2 linked regions of the Stegostoma tigrinum genome follow. The protein of the gene in region 2 interacts with the protein of the main gene of each other region in a biochemical or structural test. Links are inferred from orthologs where the notes say so. Each region holds a gene or a part of one and is shown on either strand. Other genes may lie near its edges.

Region 1 (8,319 bases), on a different chromosome or scaffold from region 2:
GGTATTAAACATAAAGTGATGTTAAGCTTCAATTATACATAGCAATAATAAGTCCACATTGTGAACATTTTGTGCAGTTTAAATCTTATTTAATAAAGGATGTAAATGAATTGGGGGTACTTCAGAGGAGGTTTACTAGAGTGAGACATGGAATCAGTGGCTTATTTTATGTGGATGGATTAGGCAGGCTGGGTTTGTTTACACTGGAGGTTTGCGGAGTGAGGAGGGACTTGATTGAAGCGTCCAGGATCCTGAATGGTCTTGGCAAAGTCATGTGCAAAGGCTGTTTCCTCTTATGCATATGTTCAAAATTAGGGGATTTCCCCTATTGGACGGAAACGGGAAGACTATTTTCCTATGAAATGATCATGCAATTTTAGAGCTTTCTAGCTCAGAAGGCAACAAAGGTAGGGTCACAATGTATTTTTAAGGCAGACGGAGATAGATTCTTGCTAGACAAGGGAATCAAAGGTTATTGAAAGTAGGTTGGAATGTAACATTTAAAATACAAAGACATCAGCTGTTACCTTACTGAATAGCAGTGCAGGTTTGTGCAGCCAGGTAGTCTACTTCTGCTTCTTTTCATATGCCTGCAAATTGCTTCACCTCTCCTCCAAATGTCCTTTAAGTCCTCCCTTAAAATCTATCTCTTCGCAAAGTAACTGATCAAACCTCCTAAACTCTTTTTACCAGTTTCGGTGGCAAGTTTCTTCTGATCATGCTCCAATGAAGTAATTTGGAACATTTTATTCAACACAGGTGATATATAAGTCACTCAGAGATAGTAAGAACTGACGATGCTGGAGTCAGAGATAGCACAATGTGAAGCTGGAGGAACACAGCAGGCCAGACAGCATCAGAGGAGCAGGAAAGCTGATGTTTCGGGTCGGGACCGTTCTTGTCTCTGATGCTGCCTGGCCTGCAGTGTTCCTCCAGGTGATATTTAAGTGCAAGTTGTTATCGTACTGTGAGATTCTTATTTCTGAATTACGTTTTATGTCTTCAGAGCACAATCAGAAAAGTTTTCTTTTAGAATGTTAAATGTTGTGAAAACCACTTCATTATACACAACAATATTTATAAAAATTAACAAACCTGGAAAATGAAGGCTATGAAATGTTAAACTCACATTTTTATGGACAATTTACTCTCTGAAAATTGTCAGAATAAAATCATCGCATAAAGTCCAATCGTTCAACTATTTTATGTAATTATAGATGTCAGAAATTCTTTTTTAACCTACCAGTTAAATGAACCCATTTATACTAAAATCTCAAAGGTTAATATTTTGATTGAAATTAATTTCAAGAAATGTATCAAATAAACCATTACATTAAATGGGACACACTCAACATTACTTATCCTAGATAAAATGTTTTTATGCCCACTATCACTACAATTTTGATTAAATATGAAGTTTGTATTTCTATTTTTTTCCCAAATATTACTACACAAACATCTACTATCTAATATTGAGTAATAGTTTTCATCAGTTTATGCTTCAACTGGTTATATTGTATAGCAGTTGCCACAAATTAAGCAGCACTGTATAAAAGTAAAAAGTAATATGCCATTCTAACAAAGTGACATATATATCTAAAAACATTTCCTCAAAATACATATACACATCTTGGTAATATTATGATGTGTATATCAGATATCCTATCTTGTAATGTATAAATGTGCTTGAATCTTTTCATACACTGTGCGGCATTTGTTATAAGGACATACCTCCCATGAAATTAATTGCGATGACAGCATTTCACAATGCAATACTCTCCTCCAAGTGATATAATAAAAGTAATCAGTTGCATATCAATAATATTTTATTACAAGTACTCTTGACAAAGTAAACATAGAACTTTTTCAATGCGCGATTAAAGAGTCTATATGTCAGTTTTTGAACTCAATGGAGTCAGTTTTTCCACCGTAAAAATGTGGTGAAATTGCTGGAGTGGCAAATGACATGTCTTCATCATTCAAAAGGCATTCATTCATGTCAGGAAGTGGAGAGTAAACCACATCCATCATTGCACAAAAGCTCAATTCCAGTATTTGTACTTATGTTAGAACCTCCTATTCAGACTGCACTCAAGGTCTATACCATAACTGGGGACTTAGATAGTATTGGCATGTGAAAATTATTGCAAGATAGTGTTTTGTACAATAAAATTATTTATTAATATTGACAGTAGTATTATTGTGTTAAATACTGTAAATGCAGCAAGGAGGTTTTAATTCACAATTCAACATTTTAAGTGCCTATATTTGTTACCATTTTCACCAAACATAATCAATAATACAATTCAAAAAATGCACCTTATGGACAGTGCTTCTGACATTACAGAAGAAAACCCTTAACCGATACCATAAGATCAAATAGGGTTACTGTAGCAAATTATATCAAATCAAGATGCTCTCTTGCAAACTTTGATAGGAATACAGTTGTTTACCAACTCTGCTTGTTAAAACTAGACAATAGTAAAATGTCTGTTTAAACACGTGGAAAGAAGAGTGTTGTGTACTTCCACTGGAATCAATTACAAAATCTTACCTCTTTTGTGAAGCCACCCCTCTTTCACGATTGTACCTTCAGTCATAGTGATACAAAAGATTTAAAAGTAAGTTGACTCGAAGGTTCCTGATTGAAACCCTTTATTCTTCACAGCAACCTGTGTTAAAGGGAGAAAAAAGCAAGGGTAAGTAGCAGGTAATTATATCAGTTAGCAAGCTTGCGTGGGTTAGGACAAGGTGGGCGTTCACGTACAAGTCAGTGATTTCCAGGCCATTATGAACTTACGGTCCAGACTCTGAACTGATTTTAATGAATGGCAGAGAACGTAACGCGCTTGGCGGAGCATCGGCAGCTAGCATCCTGTTCCCCGGGCACAGCCGCAGGACAAGCGGCTTCCCCGGCTCCTGAGGCGGCTGGCCGGGAGGGAAGCCCAGGGCAGGGGGCAGACCAGTCTAACATCTCCGGACAGGCAAATGGGAACAGGCCTAAAGCTGAGGCAGGCCTGTAGGCGCTGGGACCGTCCTCAGTGAAAGGTTTACCCTGAGGCTTGCTTTCCTACCTGCAGCTAGTCGGGTCCGGCTCCCGACCTCTTTGTATTGCCCCTATGTTTAGCTCCGGATCATAACTAAGGTTCGCAAGGCGCTGAACTGCAGTAAACGGTGTGATAGCTTCTTCCTTGTGCGAGAATGGGTGACGTTAGGCTGGCTTAGTCTCCCCAGCACGTCAGTACGGGGGCTACACAACGCCCAGGCGAGCTCTACATCCTTAACAAGCAGTAAATACAATAATCGGTAGGTTCCGCAACAAATTCAACGACTCCGGCAATTAACAGCAGTGAAGAAAGTAACGACTGAGACTCACTACTAGCATTAAAGTAACTATCATAACTGACAGCAGACAATTCACAGAAACTGATGAGATAAGAACTGCTTGGGCTCAAAAATTAACTAACCTGCTACTATTGCACGTGACACTGAGCAGATCAACGACTCGGACAGCCATTTTTCAGACTAACCCCTCGACCAGCAGAGAACAGTCAATAACAGGGGCAAACTATTGTGGTGGATAGTCAACAAAATCATTGTTTCCATTGGCAGGTGGGATTAGATTGAAGATTTTTTTTAAGTAAAAGGACTGTGTTGTGGAAATTTTGTCAAATTTCATGGAGGGTTTCTCCCAGAGAGGTCTGTCAATCCCAAACTTACTCACTGACCAGGTACCATGCCCATGACAGCCAGTGCTAGCCAATTCACAGTAAGCAGAAGCATTGGTCCCAGGACTACTGGCACCGGCTCATTGTGCATCCTATCTAGAGCTGGCAGTCCAGTGCTGCCCTGTGTAATCAATGATATTTGCCCCGGATGATGCAGGTAATGGAAAATTGCTACCTCACTTTGTAGACCAGGGGACCTGGAAGCTTTAGTCGATAGCATGCTGCTGAGGAGGGCCGTCCTCCAACCCCAGCCTGGTAGAGGTGATCTTGGAACCAGACCCTACCTGCCTATAAGGTTGCCACCTGGATCAGTGGACTCCAGAGTTTGGAGAAACACCTAACAATGCAGAAGGAGAGACTGGAATTGCACACAGTATTCCAAAAGTGGCCTAACCAATGTGCTGTACAGTTGCAACATAACCTCCCACTCCTATACTCAATGCACTGACCAATAAAGACAAGCATACCAAATGCCTTCTTCATCATCCTGCCCACCTGTGATGAATGTATTTTAAAAGAATTATGAAATTGCTCTCCAAGGCTTGCTGTTCAGCAACAGTCCTCAGGATCTTGCCATTAAGTGTATAAGTCCTCCGCAGATTTGCCTTTCCAAAATGCAGCAACTCACATTTATCTAAATTAAACTCCATTTGTCACTCCTAAGCCCATTGGCCCATCTGATCAAGATCCAGTCGTACGCTGAGGTAACTTTTCTCGCTGTCTTCTATACAAAGCAATCTCTATTCCTGTGCTACTCCTACATTACATCACTGTGAATGACTTTGCAACACATTAGAAATTTTACTCCTTGTTCACAATGCATTGTCTCCTTTCTATCCTGCAGATATAAACAGCAATAGCATGGTCTCCATAGTCAACATTCCTCACATCTCTGAGCAAAGTAGCATGTTGCCTCAGAGGATATACCAGCAAGGCAGCCTCATGTACCTATCCACTAGTTCAGGTACTGCCCCCTCAGTGAATGCTTCAACTAGATGTGGGAGTATCTGCTGATGAGCATGTCACTCCTAGGTCTGTGCAGCTGACTGAGAAATGCCCCAGGTCATTGGCATTGGAGAACAGGCACCTGCCCACACTACCCAGGGGAGGAGCCCATTGATGTTGGCAACAAGGGAGTTAATGCTGAGACAAACACAGGAGCAACAGGTACGTTTGTCAGGAACACCGGGCAACATGAAAGAAAGGTTGCAGGATTCCAGAAATGCTACAGGTACCTTGCAGCCTTAGGTCTATGATTGTCTGGCTGTTTCCAAGAACACTTCAGAGAATGCCAGGGGTGCCAACTGTCTCAATGGACTCTGACTCATCCCTTCCTCACCAGCACACAGGGCAGTGCTGGTAGACACCCAGCCAGAGGAGGAATCGTATATATTCCCCCAAGACATCTCTCAGGATACTGCAGAGTTGACTAGGCTTTCAACCCCCTTCCCTGCTTTTCACCTTTAGCCCTCTGGAAGGTCAAGCTGCGGAGATGACTCTGGGCAAGAGACACGCAGCGCATCTGGACCCTATAGGCACAAATGCATCCGGTATCACCCAACCAAAACTCCCAGTCCATTTAACTCCATAATGGGGCAAGCTGCCTCCATCAATGTTGAGGCACCTAGAATTTCACTGAGACAGACTGGGAGGAAAGGAAGAAAATGAGCTTCTGCGGGCACTTAGTTAGCAATGGGTGACACTTTATTGTAAATATATTCTTAAAATTATGGAGGATGGTGGTGGAAGGTTCCTTTTCAAACTGGAGGCCTGTGACCAGCAGTGTGCCACAAGGATCGGTGCTGTCATTTATATAAATGATTTGGATGTGAACATAGGAGGTGCAGTTAGTAATTTTGGAAATGACACCAAAATTGAAGGTGTAGTGGAAACCAAAGAAGGTTACCTTGGAGCACGATAAGACCTTGGTCAGATGGGCATATGGGCTGAGGAGTTGCTGATGGAGTTTAATTTAGGTAAATGTGAGGTGCTGCATTTTGGAAAGGCAAACCAAGGCAGGACTTATACACTTAATAGTAACGTCCTAGGAATTGCTGCCAAACAAAGAGACCTTGGAGTGCAGGTTCATAATTGCTTGAAAGTGGAGTCCCTGGCAGGATAGTAAAGAAAGCATGTGGTATGCTTGCCTTTACTGGTCAGTGCAGTGAGTATAGGAGTCCGGAGGTCATGCCGTGGCTGTACAGGACATTGGTTCGGCCATTTTTGGACTATTATGTGCAATTCTGGTCTCCCTGCTATAGGAGGGATGTTGTGAAACTTGAACAGATTCAGAAAAGATTTACAAGGATGTTGCTGGGTATGGAATGTTTGAGCTATAAGGAGAGCCTGAATAAGCTAGAGCTATTTTCCCTGGATCGTCAAAGGCTGGGGCAGGACCTTATAGAAGTTTATAAAATCATGAGGGGCATAGATAAGATAAATGGCCAAGCTCTTTTTCTCAGGGCAGGAGAGTCCAAAACTAGAGGGCATAGGTTTAAGGTGAGAGGGAAAAGATTTAAAAGGGACATAAGAGTTAACCTGTTGATATAGAGGAGGGTGCATGTATGGAATAAACTGCACAGACCCATTCCCCTGTAAACCCACCTAATCTACACATCCCTGAACATGAAGGGCAATTTACCATGGCCAATTCACCTAGCTTGCACATCTTTTGGACTGTGGGCAGAAACCGGAGCATCCCCACACAGACAGAAGGAGAATGTGCAAACTCCACACAGACAGTCACCTGGGGGTGGAATCAAACCCTGGTCCCTAGCACTGTGAGGCAGCAGTGCTAACCACTGTGCCACCCCAGTGGTCTGTGAGCGAATGTCTATCTGTCACAACTTTGACACTGAAGGTACAGAGCCTAACCATCTGTAGTGCTACACAATGTCCTTTTGTCCAAGGTGTTAAGCTTCATGTACAGGCTCTGGGAATTTGAAATGTGATTGCTGCTCTGGCAATGATTTACCAGATATTGCCGGGGATGAAGGGCTTAAGTTATAAGGAGAGGCTGGATAGCCTGGGACCTTTTTTAGTGGAGCGTAGGAGGTTGAGTGGTGACCTTATAAAGATTTATAAAATCATGATGTGTATAGATAAGGTGAATGGCAGGTGTCTTTTCCCAAGGGTAAAGGCTTTCAAGAGTAGACAACATATTTTTAAGGTGAGAAGAAAAAGATTTTAAAAAGATGTGAGGGGGTTTTTTTTGATACAAAGAGTGGTTTGTGCGTGGAATGAACTTCCAGAAGAAGTGGCAGATGTGGGTACAGTTACAATGTTTAAAAAGTATTTAGATAAGAAGCATTTGGAGGGCTCTAGGCCAAGTGCAGGCAGGTGGGAGTAGTTTAGGTTGGGATTACAGTCAACATCTACTGGTTGGACTGAAGGGTCTGTTTCCGTGCTGAGTGACTCTATGGCTCTATAACTGTGAATGTTTTCACTTTGCAAAGCATTGTTTGTGCATCACAGCCAATAATGGAATTGATTTGTATTGTTGCCTGTTGCAGTCAAGAGTACTTGGGACCAGGATTTAATGCCTTTGGTTCACATAGTACGTAATGCTCGCAGATATGTTTCAGCAAAAGGGTAAGGGTATCTGTGAAGTATTGTTGCCCTTCAAAGTGCATCTTATTGAAGAAACTTATTGAAGACCCTTCCCTCACACTTACCCTGTCTCTGGGTGTGGTGGCAGCCATTTTCAGCACTTGATGCTTCCAGTACAGTGGAATGAAACAGTGGTTATTCCTCAACCAGTGAAAGTCAACTCAGCCTCTCACTCTAGATGAGTCTGCAAATTACATGTTCCCTTCTTGTAGCCCTTTTCGTAAATCCCCATAGTCTTCAAACATCCCCAAGTATCCTCCCACTCTGTCTGAATTTTCATTGCCCCACTTGACACAGTCCCTGCTCCCCATCCCCAGGCATATCAAGTAAACATGCCAGACCTAGTCCTCCACTGTCACCCGTAGAAATTAGGGTGTTGCTGACTGTTGATGACATGACTCTAGTAATACCCCCTTACCTCCAACATATCATCCTCCTCATTATATAATGAGTTGCCATCCCCTTGCACAATTGTAATCCCCTCTGAACCCCAGCATGCTGCCTCTAATCCACAAAATTAAGTTTCCAGCGACCTTCCCACGCTCAAGCCCCTGATAAACCCCCCAGGGACTTTTAGTGAACAGACCCCAGGGCTGACTACAGCTCACCCCCTTGAGTCACTTAGAAGGCCAGAACAATGAGTGACCAGGCCCACTGACTGGTAGTTGGATAGCTCCCTGACTGTGGTTCCACAGCTCCCCGAACTGGATGTACTGGAGCCACAGGGCTGACTGTGGCTCACCCCCAGGCTGTAGAAGTATGAACCACTGACAATGACCATCCCAGATGTTCCACTGACCATACCCAAGCCTCTGAATTGATACCAGAGGCTGACCTTGACTTACTATGCCAGGAATCCCTGCAAAATGCGTGTCCCCCTTGACTTGATTGGGAACTACTCCCCTCAGACTTTGAGACATGACCATTTGTATGAAGCATATGCAGTGTGCTGGACGCTGCACGCACTGATACAGGGTGCAGT
Region 2 (8,439 bases):
TGAAACCTTCGGCTGAATTTGAAGCAGACTTCACACTCTAAGATGTCATGACAGAGAAGAACCACACAAAGAGGCAATGTAAATCATTAAGTATGTTCTGTGGCAACTTAATAGGTTTTAAAATCAAAAACCATCATTGGCCAATGCACAGTCATAAGCAATTTAGCTGATGCAGTTAATTTGCAGAAGGACACCATTCAAGATGACTTCAAATAAAGGACTAGTCCTCTCCCAAAAAAGGTGGAAATATTCAAAGAAATGCTCAGAAATAAAACCATAGCATGGTGGGAATAAGTGTAAAAAGGTACCATTTGATTACTTAGGACAGGAATTTCACAAGGTGATTTGATGGGGTAGATGCTCCCTGAAGATGATAGCAGTAAGTTATCTGCATGGATTAAATAAGGAAAATTGCTGGCAACCCTCAAACAGTTCAACTCTGCAATGATAACTGCTAACCTTGCTGAGGATGATTCTTTTAATTTTCCTCCAGTTTAATGTTATTAATGTAGAAATGATAACTAAGATTCAGATAAGTACAGGATTCAAGTGCAACAGATTTATCACAAAGTTGAAGTCAAATCTTTCTGCATGGATTTAGAAAAGTTCCCTTTAACAAGCTGTTAATTATAGATAGTGGGATATCTGACACCTTGTTGCTGAAGTCCAGTGCCCAAGTGAAAGAGGAACATGTGGACCTTTCACGTCTGCAAGCACAACAGAACTCAACCATGGTCTGATCCAATTTCATGTCTGCTGTGTACAGATGGCTGCAGTGACCACCACTACTCTAATATCAGGTTGTTATATTTGAACTCAGACCTTCCATAACAGTATTCCAGGCCAGACTATCTGGAGTCTGATGAAATATTCTTGGCGCAATATATTTAAATCAGGTTTACACTCTGCTATGTTTAGGCAACCAAGCTTTGATTCAGTTTATAAAACAAATGGATAACTTAGCTGTCTGTGTATTTCAACAATCCGAATAATTCCTTTCCAACTGCAGTCAACACATGCGCACTCATTGCATCAATGTGGAAATTAAAGTGGAGAATTAAAATAAATCTAAACACATTTAACTAGCTAATACAGTTACCATCTGGAAATACAGACTCGCTTTTACACAAAACACAACCATGTGTAACTGACTTTTACTTCTACTTCAATTCTAACAATTTTGAGTAACGTAAGTAACACATTTTAAATAAAATTGAGCTTCACGAGGTTAGGAGCAGACACCTGAGGCACACAAAGGGAAATCATTTGTTAATCTTACAGCTATTTTAAACCACAGGAAACAAATTTGGATGCCCAAAGCTAACTAGGAAAGGATACCCCTTTCTAACTTAAAAACCAAGGGAAATTTACAATGTGACATTAAGCATTTTTTGCAGTTTCAAGTGCAATTATGGCCCAAATCAAAAAGATTGATAGGTGATGTTCTTAGCTGAAGTATATTATTAATGTTACAAAGATTTAGCCAATCTGCTTTCAAGTAAATTAATCTGCAAGTGGCAAAATCTGAACATTTTAAATTCACGTGTTTTACTGGATAAATAACTTCTCATCCAAAAATGTAATTTATTAGCAGTAAAACATGTGATACTTGATTTCAAATTTTATGAATTATGTCAATAACAACCTCTGACAGATTGTACAGATCAAGTGAGCAAAATTGTTTTGCATGCAAGTGCTTGCCTAGAACACTTACTTTTGTAGAGATGTCTACCTAAACTGAATCACTTTCACTACAGGAAACCAGTAAAAACATTGAACACAGAAGTTAAAAAAGACAAGAAAATTTCCTCAGCATTAACAACCGCCTATAAATGGTGCTCTTTGGCCAGAAAACAAATTTCATATTGAGAATATCTATAGAATATACAACACGTTTCACATATTCTTTAGACTCAGTCCATAGCTACAGATCTGAGCAGTATCACTAAATAGATCAGTAAATCATTAAAATTGTCTGTAATTAGAAACTCAAGTGTAAATCAACACTAGGGCACAGCTGTCTGCAATCATCACTGGCAAATTTTGAAACAATTAAAAATGCTAGAAAATTTAATTTTAGGACTTCCTACATTTTCTAGCACAGCAATCACCCTGTTTAACAAAACTATCACTAAATTCTACAGACACTGCCCACAATTTGTACTAAAAGTGGGAGTAAAATAGATAAGCTGATTTTTAATTTGAAGCCTTTGAGGCAGGGGAGAATTAGCTTACCTTGCACTTTCGTCCCCAAACAGCTCCAGTCATTTCCTCCTCAGAACTGAACGTCTTTTGCTCTGATCTAGGAGCTACGTGGATTTGTAAATGAGGGATCCCAACCCTTGAACAACAATGTTTAGGTTTTGAATGATAACTGGAAACCAGCTGACAGGGAACTTCAAGTGAATGGCTCCTTTGAAAGATCGGACGCTTGTTTTGTTCATTTATAATTTCCCTTTCTACCACACCATTAATATTAAGTTGGCAGTCTGAATGTTTGAACGAAGGTAAACATACAGAGGTGCTCCTTATTAACTTAATAGGATGATGCGCATGTCCAGTATTTAAAGAGCTCTGCTTAAACTCCTTCACAAATGATTCAGGGTGAATTTGTCCTTCCTTGGGCTCTGTTCCAAATACATGAGCTCTTTGGTAGTTGAAATGCAGAACGTGATTTGAAGGTCTGTGCGGTTTCTTCACTTTTCCCCAATACTCTGCTTCTTCCTCGCCGTAATCTATTGCTCGATTTTTGCCAGGTTGCTGTCCGTTACAATGAAGCGACTTAATGTCTCTAACTTCCGAAGAAGGACAAACTGGGTTAGACAAACGCAGCCCATTAACTGCTGTTGCAACAAAACATGTGCTTGCTTCTTTGGATTTAGACACAGCCTGATCTTCATCTTGCTTTGGTTCATGAGGGCAAGGAAGAAATCTGTTTAATGTGGGATTGCTACTTGCACTTGTAAATGGATCTGGGCTTGTTGGTGTAGCTGGCGGAGTACTACACGGACTCTGAGGAAATATCACCAATGATGAACAACGCCTCAATGGAACCTTCGGTTTTCTCAACTTCACTGATGCTTTGGTGGACTCCATCGCACGTTCTAAAAGCTCTTGGTCAAAAGAAATACCGGCATTGCACAAACCACCCTCTCTGCCATTGCAACGAGTACTAGATTCACACTGTCCTCTGGATTGTTTGGACTGCAGTGATATTTGCAAGGTAGAGCTCTTTTTGCGGTGATGATCACTGTTGCTGACCTGTGGTATAAACAATGAAGAACTGCGCTGTAGGATACGTTCATCCTGTGCTACTGTCTGCGCTGCCACAGGTTCAAGTGCAGTCACTTGGTGAACATTCTTTCTCACATGTACTGGTACAGTCTCAACTGTCATACAAATGTTACTCTCCAAGCCTTCTCCCGAAGTTTCAGACAGTGGGTCAGTGTTGCTCCTCCTGGTTGCAAAATGCAGTCGCAAACGACGGGCCATTCTTCCCTTTTGAAATACAACAAATGTGGTCCTAGGTTGGAATGAATCTGAGCTAGTTAAAAACTCACATTCTGCAGAGAACACTTAAAGCAATCATAGCAAGCACTGCCACTTGCGATACGGTCACCATCAGGAGCTGTAGATAAGCAGAAATAGCTGAAGTGACAAGCAGCATTCCAGTCATTACTGCACTATGGCTATTAAGCCTGGGAAGTTAGAAATGTCCAGCAGCAAAAATCATAATTGCAGGAATACCTCCCGCAATTCTGAATAGCCATGAATGTCTCTTAACGGTGAGAAATGAAGGCAGACTCTCTTCCACAGCACTGAAAACTCAGCAACCTTTACAAGAAGCTCAGCTGCTGCACACTGTTTGAATTCTGGCCAACCTTGCTTCAATTAAATCTCCTTTACTTCCATGAGTGACTGAATCCAACCCAAAATCAACATCTTCTTGCATTTCGGTTTCATATATTACATCTCGTCCCCAGCAAGCAAGCTAAATATGTGGCACTGCTTTAGGCACTGGAGCTTCAAATGTTTCTCCTACACTGAACCAACACCGTATTTTTACCTCATAGTATTGCATTACAGGAAATTTTAAAGAGCAACATCCAGCATAATTCAGAATCAAAAGGTTTTCTGAGTATTACCCACAATGTTAAACCTCCAGGATATGGGAAATAGACAGGAAGCTACTGCTAATAACTGCAAGAGCACTCCGCAGTTTTGCATTTACAATTGAATACAATTTGCCTTCATCAGTTCCTCAATGTGATAAAGATTGGCTTTTTTTTTGCAGATAGTAGTTCTGAACTCACGCTCTCAGTTCGGCTTTAGCTGAACACATTGAAATCCAACCATCTAAAAGAGGCAACGATTTAAAAGAAGCAAATCCTTGTTTAAAAAGAAACAAAAACAGAACTATTATTAGACTCCCACTGGACTGAAATCCTGCTGGTACCGGGCTGCTAGCGCTTGTTAAGACTGTTCAGTGTGGCTAAGTAGGAAAAACCTCTCTCTTCATACACAGAAATGCCACATTCTGACATTTGAAACTCATGACCGTGCCAAAGGAGTTACATTCTTTTCTTCCTGTGGCTTTCCGATCAGATGTACAGATTCAAAAGCACTGAATATAATTAATTTTTACAAGAAAGCATTTTTCAAATACTTTCTCCTTCGTCTTGTAACCATGTAAAAAAGGTACAATCTTAACACATCAGAAATTGTTCCTCGATGTGGGAGTTTTGCACCAATATCTAGGACTATGACACTGCATACACTTTACAAGAGAGAGAAAATTTCCTTTGAGTGAAGTCACAAAAGATTTTAAGTTCCAAGCCTTGTAAGACAAAGTTGTTTGACATTTTAATGTGTGGAGCCATGACACAACATGACTAGCCACTTCACACATTCCAGGTAAAACCTGAACATAATACTTTATTAACTCACCACTCAACAGTTTGCAAGTTGCTATGCAGGAATAGTGGCTCATTCAGCAGGACTGATGAAATAAAATGTGCAACATTTTTCTACAAATCAAACAGCAAGTGTTTAATAACTGTATGATGGCCATCTTAATGCCCTTAGGGATAAAAGTGGCTGCACAATGGAAAAATGTACTGCTTATAATCAAAAGCTGTAACAACTGCCCCATTTTCTGTTGGCATTTTAACAGATGCCTTTTACAAAAATTTTCTACCACTGCACAGAAGTGAGAAAGTTATTCTGAACTGCAATTAAAAGTAAAAATGGCCCTTTGAGCATTTCAATTTGCACTTAGTCAAAAAACAAACAAAATAGCTAACTTAACTAAACAGCTTGCACTAGGGGCATAGGTAGTTTCTTTGTACAGAATAACTGCTTGGTCAAACTCCTTTTTTTTTAATAGCAAGAACATTTCTATAAAAAAATGCATCTGGATAGAACAATGCTCTCTTTGTAGAAAAAAAAATCTGTATCATGCTTTTCAAGTCCAAGACTTTTTTTCCGCTAAATAAAGTTCCAGACAGCCAGATGCATAGGAATTTTTGCTACAGACCAGCTCAGCTTTTTCAACATTGCACTGAACTGGAATATTCACAGCCATTCCACTGTATCACTCTTCATTCTGCATTCTGTATTACTAATAACAACCTATGCCTCTTCACATGCTAGAATGTCTGCTTTGAAAAAAAATACCAAGCTTCTCATATGGGGAACAAAAACTTAAACCCTGTTAAATACCATCATTTTGAAAGCACACACCTGAACAACAGTAATATAATATCAATAGAAATTCTAGAAATGGACAAACGTCAACGGTAAAAGAATTGTACGCACAGAACATGCTTATGGACTGGAGTTTCTGTGAATTGACTCAACTCAAAAACAATTTTATGAGACTTGTCCTTCCAACAATATACGTACGGGGTCGTAGCTAGACAGACCACAGAATCCAGTCTCCAAGAGAAAGTGCTTATTGTCTAACTGAACACAGTACAAGGTGGGCTGACGGGAAAAAGAAGCAAATGGCGAGCAGTTATTCCAGAGCTCTGGGTGAGTCGGGAGAGGGACTAGCAATGTTAATGAAATGCCCTGAAAAAGTGTGGCTGCTTGAGGAGTGCTGATGTGAGCACAGGTATTGGGATCTGCAGCTTACGGCACTCCAAAAATGTGACAGGATGGTGGAGACAAATCCAATAGCGGTTCGCAAAAAGAAATTGCATACATTTTTTGAAGAGAAGTGATTACAGGGTTTCAGGGGAAAAGTTTGGAAGTGGAATGAACTGGATTGCTCCTCATAAGGACTGGCATAGAAGTGATAGGTCAAATGGCCTCCTTCTTTATTGCATTAGTCTATGACTGCACAGGAGGAAAGTTAAAACTTACAAAAAACGTCATCGCAGCACATTGGAGAATCAGCTCTGTTGTCAAGCTGAGCAATGCATGGCAATGTCAATTTGTGGACTGCCTGCAGTGTTTCCCACTGTGAGGAAACCAAGTGGATGCAGGACACATCCTCACAGGATGTCAAGGAAGACTCAAGGGTAAGTCTCCAGCCAAATTCTGCACCCTACTTAGCAATGTGTCACAGGCCTGGTATAGGACGACAGCATCCTTGTTATCTCAGGAAATGAACAGCCAATGGACACCACACTCAGAAAACATATTTAATGAATTTTCATTGCTTACTTAAAAAAAATACACTGTACTAAGCCATACACTGCAATGGCATGCATTTTCTTTAGGCCAAGTGCCATGACTCAAGCTTGGAGTAAAATGACTGAGAGGCATGATAGTAATGCACTCAGGTTGTAATCCGTGCCCAGGCTTATAGGTTCAAATCCCACCTTGGAAGAAGAAATCTGAATTTAACAACATATTGAATTAAGAATTAATCTAATGGAAACCATGTAACCATTCTTGGTTGTTGTAAAAAGCCATCTGGTTCACCAATGTCCTTTAGGAAAGGTAATCAGCTGTTTCACCCAGTCTGGCCTACATGTGGTTCCAGACCCACAACAACGAGGTTCATTCTTCAATGCCCTCAAAGCAGCTAAACCCCAGAGATGAAGTCACATGACTATCCTAGATGTCAAGGTAGCATTTGGCCAAGTGTGACACCAAAGAACGCTCATAAACCTGAAGTCATTGGGAATTGGGAAAATACACTTCACTCGTAGAGTCATACCTAGCACAAAAGGAAAATGGTTGTGGTTGTTGGAGGTCAATCACCTCGGCTCAAGTATATCACTGCAGGAGTTCTGTAAGGTAGTGTCCTAGGCCTAAACATCTTCAGCTTCCTCATCAATGACTCTCCGTCATAAGATTAGAGGTAGTGGTTTATGATTCTTCAGATACTGAAATATTTTGAATAAAAATTGAAAGGACTACAGATGCTTTAAATCACCTTAGTTCTGAGGATGGGTCATTTGGCTCGAAACATTTAACTCTGATTTCTCTCCACAGATGCTGCCAGACTTGCTGAGCTTTTCCAGCCATCTCTATTTTTGTTACTGAAACATTCTGGATCCATATGCAGCAACATCCAGGCTTTGACTAATACATGGCAACTGATATTTATGCCACAGAAGCATCAGTCAATAATCATCGCTATCAAGAGAAAATCTAATCATTGCCCCCTAACATTCAATGGTTTATCATTACTGAATACCCCACAATCAACCTCCTGTTGATTACCAATAACCAGGAACTGAACTGGAATAGTCATATAGAGAGTGTGGCTACTAAAGCAGGTCAGGGGCCACGTAAATACTGTGACTATAAGAGAAAGTTAGAGGATAGTTAATAGTGAGTAACAGACAGCCTCCAACCCCAGCACCTGTCCACAATCCACCAGCACATGTGAGATGAAATACTCTCCACTTGCTTGGATCAGTGCAACTCCAACACTACTAAAGAAACCGTGCATCACCTTCAACCTTCACTTCCTCTACCACTGACACACGATGGCAGCATTTCTGCACACGGCAGTAACTTAGAGGCTTCTTCAACAGCACCTTACAAACCCATAACCTCTACCACCGAGGAGGAGAAGGACAGCAAAAAACAGGAATATCAGCACCTGCAAGATCCCCTTCAAAGAAAATGCCATCTGACTTGCCTTTACTTCACCATCATTGGGTCAAAATTCTCGAACTCTCTTCCCAACATCACTGTGGGTGTACCTACACCCCGAGGTCTCTTGTAGTTTGGGAAAGTAGCTCACTACCAGCTTTTCCAGAACAGTGAGAAATAGGCAATCAACAACAGCGTAGCCAGTGATGCCTGCCCTTGTCCCAAACCAAAACAAAACACCATGATACTTAGACATTTAAATTAATCTTATACGTTGAGTCAGTAATACAGTATGCCTACAGAACTTGGGATGCAATTACTAGCTTAATCAGAACATACTATGCAAAGGTGAAACAGCGACATCCCTCCTGCACATTCAGAAGC

Evidence for each region. The genes of interacting proteins can lie anywhere in the genome.
Region 1: of the proteins of E3 ubiquitin-protein ligase NEDD4-like (region 2) and akt1, one has a biochemical effect on the other in vitro, tested with the Homo sapiens proteins (3 studies listed by BioGRID, with this or other methods). The link is inferred for Stegostoma tigrinum from reciprocal best matches to the Homo sapiens genes NEDD4 and AKT1.

The regions. Positions count from the first base shown.
Region 1 is NC_081363.1:42,990,745-42,999,063, forward strand, and holds the start of akt1 (RAC-alpha serine/threonine-protein kinase), read right to left. Parts: upstream 3,575-8,319; 5' UTR 3,468-3,574; intron 3,374-3,467; exon of another isoform or gene 3,075-3,373; intron 2,859-3,074; exon of another isoform or gene 2,801-2,858; intron 2,673-2,800; 5' UTR 2,601-2,672; coding exon 2,555-2,600; intron 1-2,554. UniProt on the Homo sapiens protein: AKT1 is one of 3 closely related serine/threonine-protein kinases (AKT1, AKT2 and AKT3) called the AKT kinase, and which regulate many processes including metabolism, proliferation, cell survival, growth and angiogenesis.
Region 2 is NC_081386.1:15,732,730-15,741,168, forward strand, and holds the start of E3 ubiquitin-protein ligase NEDD4-like, read right to left. Parts: upstream 3,586-8,439; 5' UTR 3,493-3,585; coding exon 2,236-3,492; intron 1-2,235. UniProt on the Homo sapiens protein: E3 ubiquitin-protein ligase which accepts ubiquitin from an E2 ubiquitin-conjugating enzyme in the form of a thioester and then directly transfers the ubiquitin to targeted substrates. Specifically ubiquitinates 'Lys-63' in target proteins.